Ovis aries: one gene and its partner. The protein of the gene in region 2 interacts with the protein of the main gene of each other region in a pairwise test. Links are inferred from orthologs where the notes say so. Each region holds a gene or a part of one and is shown on either strand. Other genes may lie near its edges.

Region 1 (7,125 bases), on a different chromosome or scaffold from region 2:
AGAAGGGATTTGGAGAGGTCTTCCAGTATATCTTCTTCAGCTAACGAAAGCCTGATTCATTCCTGAAAGATGTCTACCTTATTTTACAAAATGCCCCAAGAATCTTGAAACCTGAGTCTCTTCCTAATTTTCAAACATTGGTTAATTTTTGGCCATGCTGGGTCTTTGTTGCTGTGCCTGGGCTTCCTCTAGTTGCAGCAAGGCAGGGCTACTCGGTGATGGGGAGTGCGGGCTTCCCATTGTGGTGACTTGTTGCAAAGCACAGGCTCTAGGCACTTGGGCTCCCGTAGTTGTAGCAGGCAGGCTCAGTAACTGTGGCTCTAGAGCCCAAGGGCTTCCAGAGCGCAGGCTCAGTAATTGTGGTCCACGGACTTAGGTGTCCCTTGGCATGCGAAATCTTCCCGGACCAGGGATTAACCCTGTATCCCACGCATATGCAGGCAGATTCTGAACCACTGAATCACCAGGGAAGACCTTTTCCTGGATTTTAGCCAGAGTTCCCTTCTTTTATGTGTTCTTTTCCTCCATTAAAAAATCCAACAAATAACTAGAGAATAGCACGAGGCTTCCTTCGTAGCTCAGTTGGTAAAGAGTGTGCCTGCAATCAACCAGGGGTTCAATTCCTGGGTTGGGAAGATCCCCTGGAGAAGGAAATGGCAACCCACTCCAGTACTCTTGCCTGGAGAATCCCATAGACAGAGGAGCCTGGCGGGCTATAGTCTATGGGGTCACAAGAGTCAGACATAACTGATTGACTAAGCATACCGCACACACACATAGAGCAGCATTTGTATTTTTCCCCTGAACCACAGCAAAAGGAAGTTGAAGAAAGCATAAAGAAGTAAACTATATGGTCATGAACAACAAGAGATTGATGATAAATGGGAAGCTGGGTTTGGGGATAGAGAAGCTGGAAATAACTAGTTCAGCTTTCACCAAGACAGAAACGCCGATTCACTCTTGATTCTTTGTTTTCAAATTCTGGGAACCATGGTGTGGGTAAAGAGTCACTTGGAGTGTCTGCCAAAACCTACCTGTTTCTTTGGACTTTTATTTGCAGCAAGATCTCTCTGATTTCTTCAGAGCTGGGCTGCGTGAGATCTTGGCTTCCAGCCCTGTATACATTTGCTCCCTTTGAGAAGGGATATTACTATCACGTATTGGATATCTACACTATGTCCAGCACTGAGCTTTGATATTTCATATAGTTTGTTCATCTCAGCCATCTGGAAAGGATTATTACTCCTGCCTTGCAGATGAGAGCTCTGATGTTCAAAAATTAAAGTGTCACCCCCATGGTACCCTGACTGGTAAGTGATGGAGGTGGATGGAGCCCCGCTGTATATGCTCCAGAATCACTCGCATGGAGATCATGGGGCCACGGTGTCTACCTGCCTCCCTAGATTCTAATTGAGGTGGTCATGCTTTCTCCTGAGCATCTCCCTGGTCTCCTCCTCTAGTTTATGAACCTACAGCTTTGCCTTCTGCCAAGGATGAAGGGGTTCATCTCACGTATTTACACATATTTGAATCTTTACTGTCAGCTCTAACTCATAACATCAAGTTGGGCCTGTTACGCAGTCTTTCCCTTGCCCTTCTTCCATGGGATGAACACTGACTTTTGCATACCCATTCACCCCCAGGGTGGCATCTGCCAGACCACACATTCCACTCTGGAGGGGGCCATCTGAGAGCTGCCTGGGCCCATCCCTTGGCCTGTGTGTAGGACAGTGTGTGTGCCTGAAGAATGCCCGGGCGGCACACGAGCCGTGATTCAGAGGGGTAGCTGCCAATACACCTGAGGGCACAGAATCCACTCTGCTGGGCTGAGGAGGGGCCACCCCACTGTGCTGGGCTGAGGAGGGCCCACCCCACTGTGCTGGGCTGAGGAGGGCCCACCCCACTGTGCTGGGCTGAGGAGGGCCCACCCCACTGTCCTGGGCTGAGGAGGGCCCACCCCACTGTGCTGGGCTGAGGAGGGGCCAGCTCCTCTGTCTGGCAGATGATCTGTTTTTGGTAAGACTGCACCAGGCAGGGTATAGCGGAGAAATAAGGCCACGTGGAAACAAAGTTGTCACTGTGGCTTTTAAAATCAAATGAATAGCCGTTACAAACTTCTGCCCAAAATCCTTCAAAAAGGGATAAGAATGACCCTGACCCCACTTCCAGCTCTTCCTCAATCAGTTCAAGCTGAATGAAGAGCAATCCTATTTGGAACAAGAAGATGGATACAATTCAGGATGGTGGATGTCCTCTCTGAGTCCCCTCAACTTTCTTCAAAATGAGAACAACTGGCTTTGGATTTATTATCCAATTATTTATTGGATATTATTTATCACCCAATCATTATGCAATCCTTGAATCCCAAAGACCATCCTTAGAGCAAAACATTCTCTCTGAAGGCCGAGGACATGGGAAAGCATGGTTCTCCACAGGGAGGGGAGTAGGGGAATCTCAAACTGGGAGATTTGGGGAACTGGGCAGGATGAGAATACAGAACAGGAGAGTAGGCTGTGTAACTCTGCTGTGTCTGGGAGTGAAGCTGCCCTCCCCAGGAAGTGGGATTTAATAGGAGGTGCCCCTGACCAACCTATGTTAGTCAACCTTGTGTTGGTGCCAGGGCCCCAGGTTCCTACCAAGTCATACTTTAGAGCTAGCCCCAAGCTTCCCTGTTTATCACAGAAATTAATAAAAAATAAAGTGAGCTTTCATCAGGTTGCATCTTAAGAAGCAGTTCAACCCAATGCATTGTGGTGGACCATGCAGGAAAGGCCTTCTTTCTTGAAGGCTGGGGTGGGGAGGTTCTGAGATAATACGTGACTGAGCTCGTCATGGGAGACCCCGTTGGCTGTGACAGGCCTGGTTCTCACCCAGGGCCAGGAGCAAGGTGGTAGGCTTTTGGGTGTGTGTCTGTGTGTGTGGAGTGTACACAGAAACTGTCACAGCCACACCTCACATGCACCCACACCCGACATGCCAGAGCAGGGCGCAGTCCTTTGTTGTCCTTACCTTAACTCTCTCAGCATTTTCAGAAACACTGAGCCTTGATGCGTTGGGTCCTTAAGGACATGGTCCAGAAATGCTCAGCAGACCTACAGCGTACATTTTCAACCCGCTTCCCTTTATCCGCCCCCCATATTTGGGCATCGTGAACTCCAACCAGGCCATGTCTCTCAACAGTATTTATTTCCTAAGGGGAAGCAGGGGCTATGTCCAGCTATGTCCGATCTTCAAGCTTGTATTCGTAAGCCCGCACCGCCTACCCACAGTACCCTCTGGCGTATTTGCAAGTTGCACGACTTGGTCAGGGAATTTGGGATTAATATGAGTCATTAGACGGCTACTTTCCCAAATTAAAGAAGAAGCCACAATACTAAATATGATCCTGAACATTTAATCTCTGCTGTTTCAGAATACACTTTAGAGCTTAGAGACCTTTCAGGTTAGACTTCTGCTGGTGACTGCCGGTCCTGAGGGTGCTGTGTGGATGGACAAGGGGAGGGGAGAGGTCTGCAGTGTGGGCGGAAATGGGAGCCCAGCTCTGATCTCAGCTCTGTCACTAATGGCACAGTGACCATGATGAGCCACTTCCCTTCCCTAAAAGGATTGGACTAGAGTGTCTCTATGGCCCTCCCAGCTCTGACAGTCTATAAATAAATAATTAGCAGAGAATGTAATGTGCTGATTTTCCATAGGAATTGAGGAAATCAAAAAATAACTTGCAATCATGTAGACAAAGGCTTTCAAGAGTTTCTCGGTATTTACAATGTCTCTAGGCTTGAGTTCCTAACTCACTGTTGACCCAGCCCTGGCTTCAGTGCTGTGCAGATGGGAGATCCAGAGCAGGAAAAACAGGGATCTCGGAGTCAGGGCCTGTCGAAGTTTATTACTGAGTTTAACAAGCCCAAGGACAAGACCCTTCCCAGGGGAAGTGTGATGTGCAGACATTCATCCCGCCTCCACAGACCAACAAGAGTGTCAGGATGTGTCTGATCCTTGGGACTAAGGACAGTGAGAGAGGGCCACAAACAGACTCCTTGGCTGTGGGCCCCTGTCCAGAAGGCCTGAAGCGAGAGGGGACTCCAGCAAGGGCTGAGCCAGTCTCCATCCACTGCAGGGATTCTAGGGGCACCACATTTCACGTGACCCTGCATTTGCCTAATGTCACAGGTACATCTACTGTCTCATTTGACTATTTTTCTCAGGCTCAGCCATGCCTCTCCACTCAGTTCTAGGCTGAACTCTACCCGACATAAGAAAATTTTCAACCAGAGCAGAATTCTGAGCAATGACTCCTTGTGTCATATAAATAGCATCAGTGATATATACAGCCTATAATACGTGCGCGCGCACACACACACACACACACACACACACACACAGCCATTTGCACAGGTACTGCAATGCAGGAGACCCAGGTTCAATCCCTGGGTCAGGAAGATCCCCTGGAGAAGGCAATGGTAACCCACTCCAGTACTCTTGCCTGGAGAATCCCATGGACGGAGGAGCCTGTAGTCTCCTCCGGGGTGCAGTCCACGGGGTTGCAAAGAGTCAGACATGACTGAGCGGCTTCACTTTCATTGGCACAGGTGCTCTGAATATAAATGTGTGGTCCAGTCTCTCCCCCAGCGAGAGGAGACCACTGGAGAGGAGCTGACCCCGTGCAGCTCCTGAGTCACGCTCTGGGTCCCAGCCTGAGCAGTGGGGTGCGGGGAGGGGCTGTGCGGGTGGGGCTGGTGGCCAGCGGCCTACTCCTTCAGCAGGCCCAGCTTCTTCAGCGCCTCCCTTCTGTGTTCATCTGACACTCCCTTTGGGGAGATCCTGACACTGACACAGGGGGGCCGGGGCAGCTTGTCTCGGCTCTGCCCCTGGTAAGACAGGCGCTTGGGGGCCCCCTCCTGCTCCAGGTCAGCCAGCTTGCCCACCTGGATACCCTCAAAGTCCTTCCCAGTGCCCAAGGAGGCCGGGCGTGGCCGGGAATTACGCAAGATGCTGGGCGAGATCCGGTCCAGGTAGGAGCCTTTTTCCAGAGAGGTGCTGGTTTGGGGGCTGGGAGCCTTCTCGGCTGAGAGGTAGCTGCTCAGCCCAATGCCTGACCGCTCCAGGGTGTTGGACTTGAAGCTCATCTGTCTGAGGCCAGGGACGCCACTCTCCTGGAGGGTCAGCCCGGAGTCTGGCTTTTGCTGAGTCAGGGGACTGTGTGCCCGCGGGCCCTTTGGGACAGGAATTGGCATGGATTTGGCAGCTGGCGCTGTCCCTGGAGTGGGTTCCTGGGTGGGAACCAGAACCTTGCCTGGAGAAGGCGGTTGGGCCAGAGCTGGTGCTTTCCCGGGAGAAGGGCCCTGCTTGGGTGCAGGGGCCGGGGCCCTTCCGGGGACCTGAGCTGGGGCCGGGGACTCGGCCTGAGTGCCAGTCTCCTTGAGCCTAATGGAGGGTCTGCTTAAGCGGAGGCTGGGCTCCTCCTGGTCCTGCGGCAGCCCCAGCTTCTCCAGCGCTTCCCTGCGTGCCTTCCTCTGCTCCTGCAGCGAGGACGAGGCGGGGCTGGGGTCCCCGGGTGCAGCCTCCAAGTGGCAGGACAGCCGGTTCCGGGGGTCACTGTGGAAACTGCCTCGGCTGCTCTTCAGGACAATGTTTGGTGGCAGTTTCCGGGGCTTAGGGGCCGTGAGGGGGGCCGGCTGGGCACTTGGATGGCCCCCTGACAGGACGGCCGCATCTCCAGTGCCTGCATCCTGAGAGGACACCAGGGGAAGAGGCCGAGGTGGCGCAGGTTCCCCGGTTGAACCTTTCTCACTGGCTTTTTGGGACATGGCCTCTGGAGCGGGCTTCCTGTTTCTCTGGGAGCTAAGTGATGGGTGGACCTGGGGCCTGGGGCTCAGCTCCCCTGGTCCTCTGGGCAGGCTGCCTTGCCCACGCTGCTCGGGCTGGATGTCCTGGAAAGCCTCCGGTGGGGGGATGAGCGCTCCGTCCAGCTCAAGGGCAGCGTCTGGGGGCGCGGCCAGTGCCTGGCTGGGCTCACGGCTCTGGCTGACCTGCTCTGTCTCAGGTGCCGAGAGAAGTCCCTCGGATCCCCCTGGATTATGGCTGTTAGTCGGGGTGGTGCTTTTTCTGAGGTTCTGGTTTCTGCCGATGTGGATATTTCTGGGGAGGCTATAGGAGCCAGACCTGAGGCTCAGGCTTTGGGGCCCGGGTGGATGAGCTGAGCTGAACGGAGTCACTCTTTTTGGCTCTGGTCCTTGGCCAGTTGTCTCCTTGGGATGTCCTGTAAGAGTCAGGGGAACAGGTGAAGAAGAGTAGGCAGTGAGAACCCTGCTGTCAAGGGGAAAGGAAACACTTCCCACACTCTGATCTCCAGGTCGCAATGGACGGGTTTTGTCTGCTTGTTTGTTCTTGAAGGACAATGCTTTTGTCTGGATATCATTTAGACAACAGATCAATCCTAGCAGATTTCCTTCAACCAGGGATTAGCATTTCCTGGTGGCTGGGCAAAGGGCAGCCCAGACAGCTCTGTGTCCCTGACTCAGGCTCTTCCTAACCTCTGCAGATACAGGATGGTTGGGATTCAGGACAGTCCCTCCCGCTGTCCTGGGGCTCCCAGGTAACTGAGTCCAGTGGAAGCACTGAGCTTGAACAGCATCAACAGGTGATTTGCTCTCGCCCCACCAGGCATCTGCCTTCTTCCACCTCCACTTCCTGTAAACACCTGGATGACTCTGTAATGGCCACAGCTGTCCCTGCGCCACAGAGTGATACGGGCTCTTCCCTTCCAGTGAGTAAGCATAAGCACCAGGCCCACTGGGCCAGGAAATCAGCCTGCTGTATCACCAGAGACAGTGGGTCTAACATATTGTCAATAAATATTTCCCAAGTGTATGAGGTGATGGCAGTCCTAATACCAATGGGACTGTCTTCCTGGGATCTATGGCCACACTTACATGCCATCTGTGTCTCCATCTACTGAGCCACAACGTCATTCCACACTCTCTTACAAGGCCCTCAAGGTGCCACCCACTGAAATTAAGGGAGCCCCTCCCTCTGCTTATCTCCTGCAGCCTCATCCTCTGGGTCACCCAGATTAGCTCCCCAGACTGACTCAGGTTTTCCAGAGCCACCCACCCACCCCTCACT
Region 2 (8,524 bases):
GCTACACCCAGATGTATGATTATCTGTTCTCCATACAGTAGTATGTATGTGCTCATCCCAGCAGCCAGTCTATAGAATCATAGTTGGTTAGAAATGCTATCATTTTCAACAATCAGGGGTTGGAGTGGACACGATCTCCTGAGACTGCAGACCTGGAAGCCGCTTTTGAGGTCCTGCTCATGTTAAGTAGATGTAGGAAGAGAGGAAGTTCACAAGTACATTCTCAGCTACGTTAAGGGTGGGGATAGATCCACTAATGAGGCCACATACATTTGTAGCTAATGCAACAATAGCCATTCAAGATTGCTTCCTTTCCCAAAGCTGGAGGCAACATAGCAATGACTTCCTTTCCCTGCAGAGGAGCCTGCTCCCCGAGGAGTGTGGGAAACCAGAAAAGTGCCACCATTTACTGCCAGCCCATCCTGACAGATACTGGATAAAGGAAGGGTCGTAAACATACAGAAGTGAGAATCAGTGGAGAATAGAATTTCCAAGTTTCAGTAACACTGTCTGATTGCTGCTGCATTCTGCAGGCTTCCCTTTTCTCCCTTTACTCTCAGCTCTCCCAATTTCAAATGAGGTGCAGCAGCACTGAGACTCATCCATCTTTAACAACGGCTGCATAAATGTCTTTTAAATTCTTGGTTTTGGAGTAGCAATTATTGGAGCACTTCGCTAATCAACGCCTGGTGAGTCTAATCTCTGAATATCAGACAATTAAATAAAAATGCCTGAACACTCGATGGTAAATTAGCAACACCAGTTATTGAAGTGATACGTAAGTATTTTTTCACATTAAGGTAACAGTATTTCCTGGTGGCTCAGATGGGAAAGAATCTGCCTGCAATGCAGGACACCTGTGTTCCTTCCCTGGGTCAGGAAGATCCCCTGGATCTTGGCAACCCACTCCAGTATTCTTGCCTGGAGAATCCCGTGGACAGAGGAGCCTGGTGGAATTGCAGTCCATGGGATTGCAAAGAGTCAGACATGACTGAGTGACTAACACTATGATATAACTTATAATGACAGTGGCCTTGATTCCTTGAGCTACCAGAACAAAGGACTGACACTATATGACTATTTCAGGCAGTGAAAAATTCCAGGTCTGCACCATTTCCTCCTATAAACCTGTGCTGCGCACATCACATTGATGTGAAATCAGATGAGATAATCATGTGAAGGTGGTTTGTAATGAAGTTATAAAATGCTCAAGAAAACATTATTATTATTGAACATTATTATTATTATTATTGAATGATAATTCAATGAAACATAAAAGAATGTATTGGAAGGTCACTCATAGGTCAATATTTTCAAATTTTAGAAAATATGCTTATTCTTTGGAACTAAATATACTGAATTACATTTTTGAAATGTTATTTATTACAAGTTTGGTATACTGATAACAGTAATCTGAAGTGCCCACCAGAATGAAATACATGCATGAAAATAAAATTATTTATCTCTTTGTAATGCCTTAAAATACTGTGTTCTGAATGTATACAGATATGTTTAAAAGGATATTCACTGCGACACTGGTGTGGCAAAATAACCAAACAAACAAAACCAAGCTGGAAACCCCTGTGTCCATCATTATGGATTTGTTTGAGTGAGTTGCCGGACATTCGTATCGTGGAATGCCGAAGAAAAGAATGAAGTAGACTTTGTAAGTACTAACATGGAAAGATATCCAGGAGCTATTAATAAGAAACATAATGTGCAAAGCAGTGCGTATTGTATGCTTAGTATGTTTCAAGAGCTATATAATTGTCAAGGGATTACCGGGGAAAAGTCTCTGTACCATAATACATGCTAGTAAACAGGAAACCATTCTGGCGGAATACCTGCTACTCCTCTGTTAATAATGGCTCTCCATAGTCCAAGAGCTTGACTTTCTACAAACAATGTCATAACGTTTGGACTTCTTTTTATAATGAGCTTACTCTCTTTTCCTGAGCATAAGCAGTCAAGGCTTTTACAAATGACTGAAACGCCTGTGCATCAAACAAAACCTAAATACATTGATGAGCAGGTATGATTGACTTTGAATCATATATTGAAAGAAATATTGAAGGTTTGAATTGCTAACGCCAAATAGAGTTTAATTCCACTTGTTGAGACCAATTCGGAATTATGGGGCTTCGAAAAAAAAGTCTCAAAATATTGATCCCACTGCTTGAAGGCACCAGGCAGTAAGTTCAAAATAAGCTCCAAAGTCTCCATCAGTCTAAAACATCTTTTCCTGCTAACATAAGCTGAAACAAAGATGAGTTTTATCCTCTTGGAAGAGTTTTAGGTTTTGTTTGTGACCAATAAATCAAAGGCCCGCATGTCTGTTGAATGCACTCTAAGCCCCAGAGAGAAACCGGCACAAATGGCTGGAACATAAGTCGAACAGGGTCAACTTGGACTTGCACAAAAGGAAGCGCTGGTAGTGACCAAAGTTAGCTTTGCTGTTTGCTGGAGCAAAGCACCAAGAGTGTGAACTGCTTGCCAGGGGAGGCATTTGAAAGATTCAGGCACTTCAGAGATGAAAGATTACATTTCCTTCGTTTGTCCATTCCCACACCTGTTAAAATGCCTGGATGATGGCTGAATATAGAGAAAACCATAATTGCTATTAAAATTTTTCTGGATATTTAGCAGTATGCAAAACAAATCTCATGCAGACACACAAAACAAGAAAATCTCAGTCTGTGAAGTCTGTGTGGTTGCACGCCATTAAATAATTTTCCCCTTGTGGTTTTTAAACTGGGCAAGCCACACACTTAAACACAAACATACATTTGAAAAGCAAGATGATTTCACAAAAGTTATGGTTTCCTTTTACACATGAAAGCATGCACATGAGAGAAAAATTTCTTCAAGACTATTTGCAAAAATAGTTTGGTTCTAGATTGTCTCTTTGAAATCTTCAAAACTAGTTATAAATGTAGTATAAGAGAGGAAATTGTTCTTTCGGTATCCTGTGACTGCTTCAGCTGGTTCAATAGACTTTCATTATAGGCAAAGATTCACAATATAAAATGTCTTTTGGAATTTGGAAGTTAGGTTCCATAAATTCACTGTCTCTTCTGCAATATCATATGAAAATGTAAATATAGGAGAATTAAATAATATCTCTTTCTAAAAGAATAAAGATTAAAATAGAAAATGAAAGCTCATATCCTCTAGTAAGTATTTACCACAAGTTCCTAGAAGCCTCCTAGGAAATCTGAGATCCAGGATCCATACTGCTTATAATAAAGAATATTGTAAACACCAATATGTTTATAATTTAAACATATGAAATCACATCTAATCATTTGAGAATGGCATAAATAAACTTCAAACTTTAATTTAAAATACAGTTACTTAAGAAACCAGTCAATAGATAGCATAAGCTTAAGTTTTGCTTTAATTCAAGCTAAATAAGTAACACTTTTAACAGCTAAAATTACATACATTGGTGGATTTGAAAAGCTGAAGAAATTGACTGCTAGGTGAGTTACAACATAATATAATAGAGCTATACTTGTTTTCAACTAATTTTAATTAAAGACTATTCAACATAATTATTTTGCTTTTATTCTTGCAAAAAAACAGTGAACTGTTTACATTATGTTGCATAAATGTATTTGCTTCTACTTGTATAATTGTGCTACGACACAGCACTCCTAGGTTCTGGTGTTTACATATATGCAAAACATTTTATACTGTGTACAGTGACATTCACTTCATAGAATTATAATGAGGGATGACAGTGTGTAGAAAGCAAAATAAAAAAGCAAGGATACATTTGTTGATTTCGAGTTGATCCCATGTAACTCTTAAAAACTTTGAGTCAAAAAGATTTTAGAGTGAACAGTAAATAAGCATGAATAGCCACAAGGTTATTAGTGTTCGAAGAATGGGTTACAAATATGCCATGATGCAAAGACTACAGTTCTTTAGAATAAACGCAGGTAAGTTACTCTACATTTTTTCACACTCGGTGTTTCAAACAAGAGAAATTTTATAAGAAAATTAGTGTTCATGTAATTCCAGAAATTTCCCTCATATTAAAATTTCCTGATCAGCCAAAAAAGGCACTTCACATAAAAGAAAGCTATTGAAATGTTTTCCTCAAATACAGTTCAGTGAACATTTGTTCTTTGTTGACTTTATTACACAAGTGCTCACATGAAGAAAAATATCGATCCTGTCCTGCTGAGCAGGGGTCATAAAAGATACTCAAATAATCGCAACGCAGAGTGATGAGTGCAGTTATGAGTGCCTGTATTGTTGCAGGAGTAGCAGAGGAAGTAGTGGACGCCTGGGTTTTTAGGGATGACTAGGAGCACAACGGGAAGATAAGGGGCGGAAAAGGGTGCCTCCTACCATCTGTCTCATTGTTCAGTCACGAAATAAAATATATTATAATTCTATAATAATTTTGAAGGAACTAATAATAAATCAAAAAATTTTTACGAGTACAAATCACCTTAGCATTAAAATCAATTATTGTAAGTCATTTTGATTCAACAAAAGAGACTTTTAAATCTGCATATTTGAAAGTTCTATCGAAAAAGTTGGTCAAAATAAAAAGGCACCTCCTAACTTGCAGACAGGTGGAAGAGGGAAATAAAGGCACAGACTCAGGTGCCAGACTGCCAAAGTTTGATCTCAGGCTCTGCCTTTGACTTGCTGTGTGAGTAACGTGTGTGTGGGAAGTTACTTAACCTCATGACCCCTCAGTTTAGTAAAACAGGGATGATAATTACTGTCGCTGATGACTGGTTCAAAACCAACCTGCTATTCTATCTAAGGGGCTGAATTTTCCTTGATAAAAGTCCCAGGAAAGAACACCCAGGACTTTCACCTTGGTCTCTGACCAGTGATTCCAAATTTGTTGAGTTGAATCCATTCAGCAGAAACCATGATCAATGAGTCAGCTGGGAAGGGAATCCACCTCTTTTCTGCTTGCTGCACAAATGCTGAAGGACTGTTTCATAGACTCTCTTGGTACTGAGGGCAAGTTTCCCAATATGGGAAGTAAGCCTGAAGCCACTTAAACTCTCACACACACACACCATATATATATTTTCCTCCCACCAGAGAGAAGGAAGATTAACCAAACCGTTCTAAAGTCAGCTAATAAAGCACAAGCATATCAAAATGAAACTCTGCCATAAAGAAGCAAAACTCAGCATTAGAATTCTGACAAACTTACCTGCTGCTGCTGCTGCTGCTGCTGCTAAGTCGCTTCAGTCGTGTTCGACTCTGTGCGATCCCATAGACGGCAGCCCTTCCCCGTCCCTGGGATTCTCCAGGCAAGAACACTGGAGTGGGTCGCCATTTCTTTCTCCAATGCATGAAAGTGAAAAGTGAAAGTGAAGTCGCTCAGTCATGTCTGACTCTGTGCAACCCCATGGACTGCAGCCCAGCAGGCTCCCCCCCGACCATGGGAGTTTCCAGGCAAGAGTACCTAGCAGGTAACGAAAGCAAAATGCCCAGTGAGATTTCCGGGCACTGTGTCCTGCCCTGTCACTGACCTTGACACATTAATAACACAGACCTCAGTGGGACTGCCAGACTACATCATTATCTCTGCACACAATTTAATACGGACAAGGGACTTCCCCGGTGGTCTAATAGTTAAGAATTGGCCTTCCGATGCAGGGGACGAAGTTCGATCCCTGATTGGGGAACTAAGATCCCACAAGCCACGGGGCAACTAAGCCTGCTTCAGGCAGTTAGAGAAGCCGGTGTCTTGCAGCTACTGAGCCTGCACCCTCTAGAGTCCTTACTCCACAGCAAGACAAAGAGTAGCCCCTACTCCCTGCAACTAGAGGAAGCCACAGGTAGCAACGAATACCCGGCGCAGCCTATACATGTGTGTGTGTGAGAGAAACGTGGCAGAGCAGCCAGGAGTCACCAACAGCCACTTGCAGGCGTAGCATAGCACACTGGTAGCTCCTTTCTGCTTCTTGAATGCTATTGTCAGAATGAGAATAGTAGCTAAGATTAACTGAGCACTTGATATATGATACTCATTTTGCTAAAACCTTTTTCCATATTGCCTCATTTAGTCTTCAGTCCCACGTAAAAAGCACCATTGTTATACCTATTTTACAGAGGAGGAAATTAAGGCACAAACTTGTTGCGAAGGCCATATAATTTTTAAGGTCCCGTCATTTTTGAATGGAGGATCTAACCCGAAAGGACACACATACCTTTTGCCCTCTACTACAATCGTCTCCACTGTCTAATCCCAGAGGACACACATACATTTTGCCCTTTACTGCAATCTTCTCCAATCTCTGGAAGGAAAGAAAGATTTTTCTATTGTGAGCGAAGGACAAGATGTGAGTAAGTTTAAAAGCAAACACCACTGGTTTTAGGCAAACGTATAAAAAAAGATCTATTTCTCTTTGGTTCCTGTCTGCTTCCATTTCTAAAGCTTTCTCCTACACTGTTTTGTTTCTTTTCTGATTTGGAGTGCAAATTTAATACTGTTGATTCTGTTATAAAGTTTGGTATTGCAAAATAATATTTGATTTTCTAATCATGATCACAAGTCTCTAATTTCTCGTGTGTTTTATACCAGATTCCTTACTGCCCTTCCCTCCTGTCACTGGTGACAGACTCTGGTGCTGGTTAGCAGAGAAAGGCAATCTTCCTGCCACCCCAGATGGGCCTTAACACCAGTCCCTTCTTCGATTTTTCAATGCTCAGCAACAGCCTTCTTGGCTCATCTCCAAAATTTCCTGAGAACATAACATTGTTGTGAGGGACTCTGTGTCAAGTGTATCAGGCTTTAGGCTTGTTTCTCGTTACTGACAGGTAAATTTGTATGGATGAATTATCTAAAATCCTGGCCTCTAAAGACTTTAAGTTACAGTGACAACCTACATGGTCTTGAGTTCATAGCTGGGTACAGCTTCTTAGAAACAGAATTCTTGGGCAAAATGACTGCAGTGTATTCTGATTTTCAGACCCACATGTTTGACGATCACGTAAAATTAGAGCTTAAAAGATCACTCCGTCCAAGGCTTTTAGAGATGAGGAAATGAAAACCCTGGGAAGTTAAGAACTATCCTATAGTCACACGACTTATTAAAGCTTGTACCAAATTAGGAACGAGATCATCTTATCATAGCTCTTCTAGTAAACAAACAACAAGACTGAAAGCAATATGGTGCAGAAGGACCACCTGCCTAGGAACAAGGAGAGCTGGGGGTTAGCTGATTCTTCCACTACGTGACTTTAAACTAGTAACTTCTCTGGACCAATTTCTTCAACTATAAACTGATGGATTTGGTCCAGTAAGATAGTCATTATTTACAGATGTGGTTACTGAGCACAAGTTCAAATTAAAATTATCTGTAAGTATAAAATATCTGTATAATTTCAAAGACTTAGTACTATAAAATGTAAAATATCTCATAATATCACTTTTACATTAATGACATGTTGAATACTAATATTTTTAATATTTGGGATTAAATGAGATGTATTACTAAAATTATTTTTGTCTGTTTCTTTTCCTGTTTAAAACGTAGTTACTAGGAAATTTAAAATTACCTATGTGGTTTCCTTTATCTTTCTACTGGGCACACTACAATAGGAGATCTCTCAGGCGGTTTTTAGATCAGGAGTCAGCACGGTTTTTCTGTTGTTGTTTGCGAAAGGCCAAATAGTAAACATGTGAGGCTCTGGGGACTATATGGTTTCTTTTGCAAGTGCTCAAGTCCACCCTAGCAACACTAAAGCAACCACAAGACAATACATGTAAGCTTGGCTATGTTTCAATAAAACTTTACACATACACACAAATGGGTGATTTATACAATCCATACACCAAAAAATGTGGCTGTGTTTCAGTAAAATTGCTGTTAAAAAAAACAAACAATGGGCCGGATGTGGTCCACAAATTTGCTGAAGTTTGCCATCCATAGTCTATGAGTCGATTCCGTCTTTCTCCCACCCAACATTTCTTGAGAAGCTATTCTGTGTGGAAGATAAAGATCCAGACTCTGCCTCTAGTCTAAAGGAGAGTCAGGAGCATAAACACATAAGCTATTGGATACAGTGAGCACATCACTGTAATCAAGGCGGTTAGAGAAGGCTTCTTAGGAGCAACAATTGAGTTAGGGGCCTGAAGAATGAGAGAGGAACTTTCTGATTTAAAGAAACAGACAGGCATGTCTAGGGAGATGTGAAGATGTAAGGGGAAGTGTGTGTGTGTGTGTGTGTGTGTGTGTGTGTGTGTGTATGGGGGGGTAACGGGAGGTATTGTGGTGGTCGAGGAAAGTGACGTGGGGAAGAGACCAGGGGCCAGATGATGAACACTCCTGAGAGCATCCTAAGATGCTACGACAGTACATATTCCACAGGAATTCTGAGGGCCAAAGCTTTCCACCTTGGGGGCCAGCTCTGTTGGAGCACCAGCTGTGGAGGGCAGCCAGGCTGGCGGGGGTGGAGACGGAACCACAGAAGCAGCTGCAGAAGTGATGAGTGGACAGTCTGCAGGTAATGAGATCAGTGTGTTTTGCATCAGGGA

What was found. The genes of interacting proteins can lie anywhere in the genome.
Region 1: the proteins of HOMER1 (region 2) and C12H1orf116 interact in binary tests that used the Homo sapiens proteins (3 or more experiments, as listed by UniProt). The link is inferred for Ovis aries from reciprocal best matches to the Homo sapiens genes HOMER1 and C1orf116.

Annotation. Positions count from the first base shown.
Region 1 is NC_056065.1:4,645,447-4,652,571, forward strand, and holds the end of C12H1orf116 (specifically androgen-regulated gene protein), read right to left. Parts: intron 6,260-7,125; coding exon 4,749-6,259; 3' UTR 3,168-4,748; downstream 1-3,167. UniProt on the Homo sapiens protein: Putative androgen-specific receptor.
Region 2 is NC_056060.1:10,525,281-10,533,804, forward strand, and holds the start of HOMER1 (homer protein homolog 1), read right to left. Parts: upstream 5,477-8,524; 5' UTR 5,335-5,476; coding exon 5,192-5,334; intron 1-5,191. UniProt on the Homo sapiens protein: Postsynaptic density scaffolding protein. Binds and cross-links cytoplasmic regions of GRM1, GRM5, ITPR1, DNM3, RYR1, RYR2, SHANK1 and SHANK3.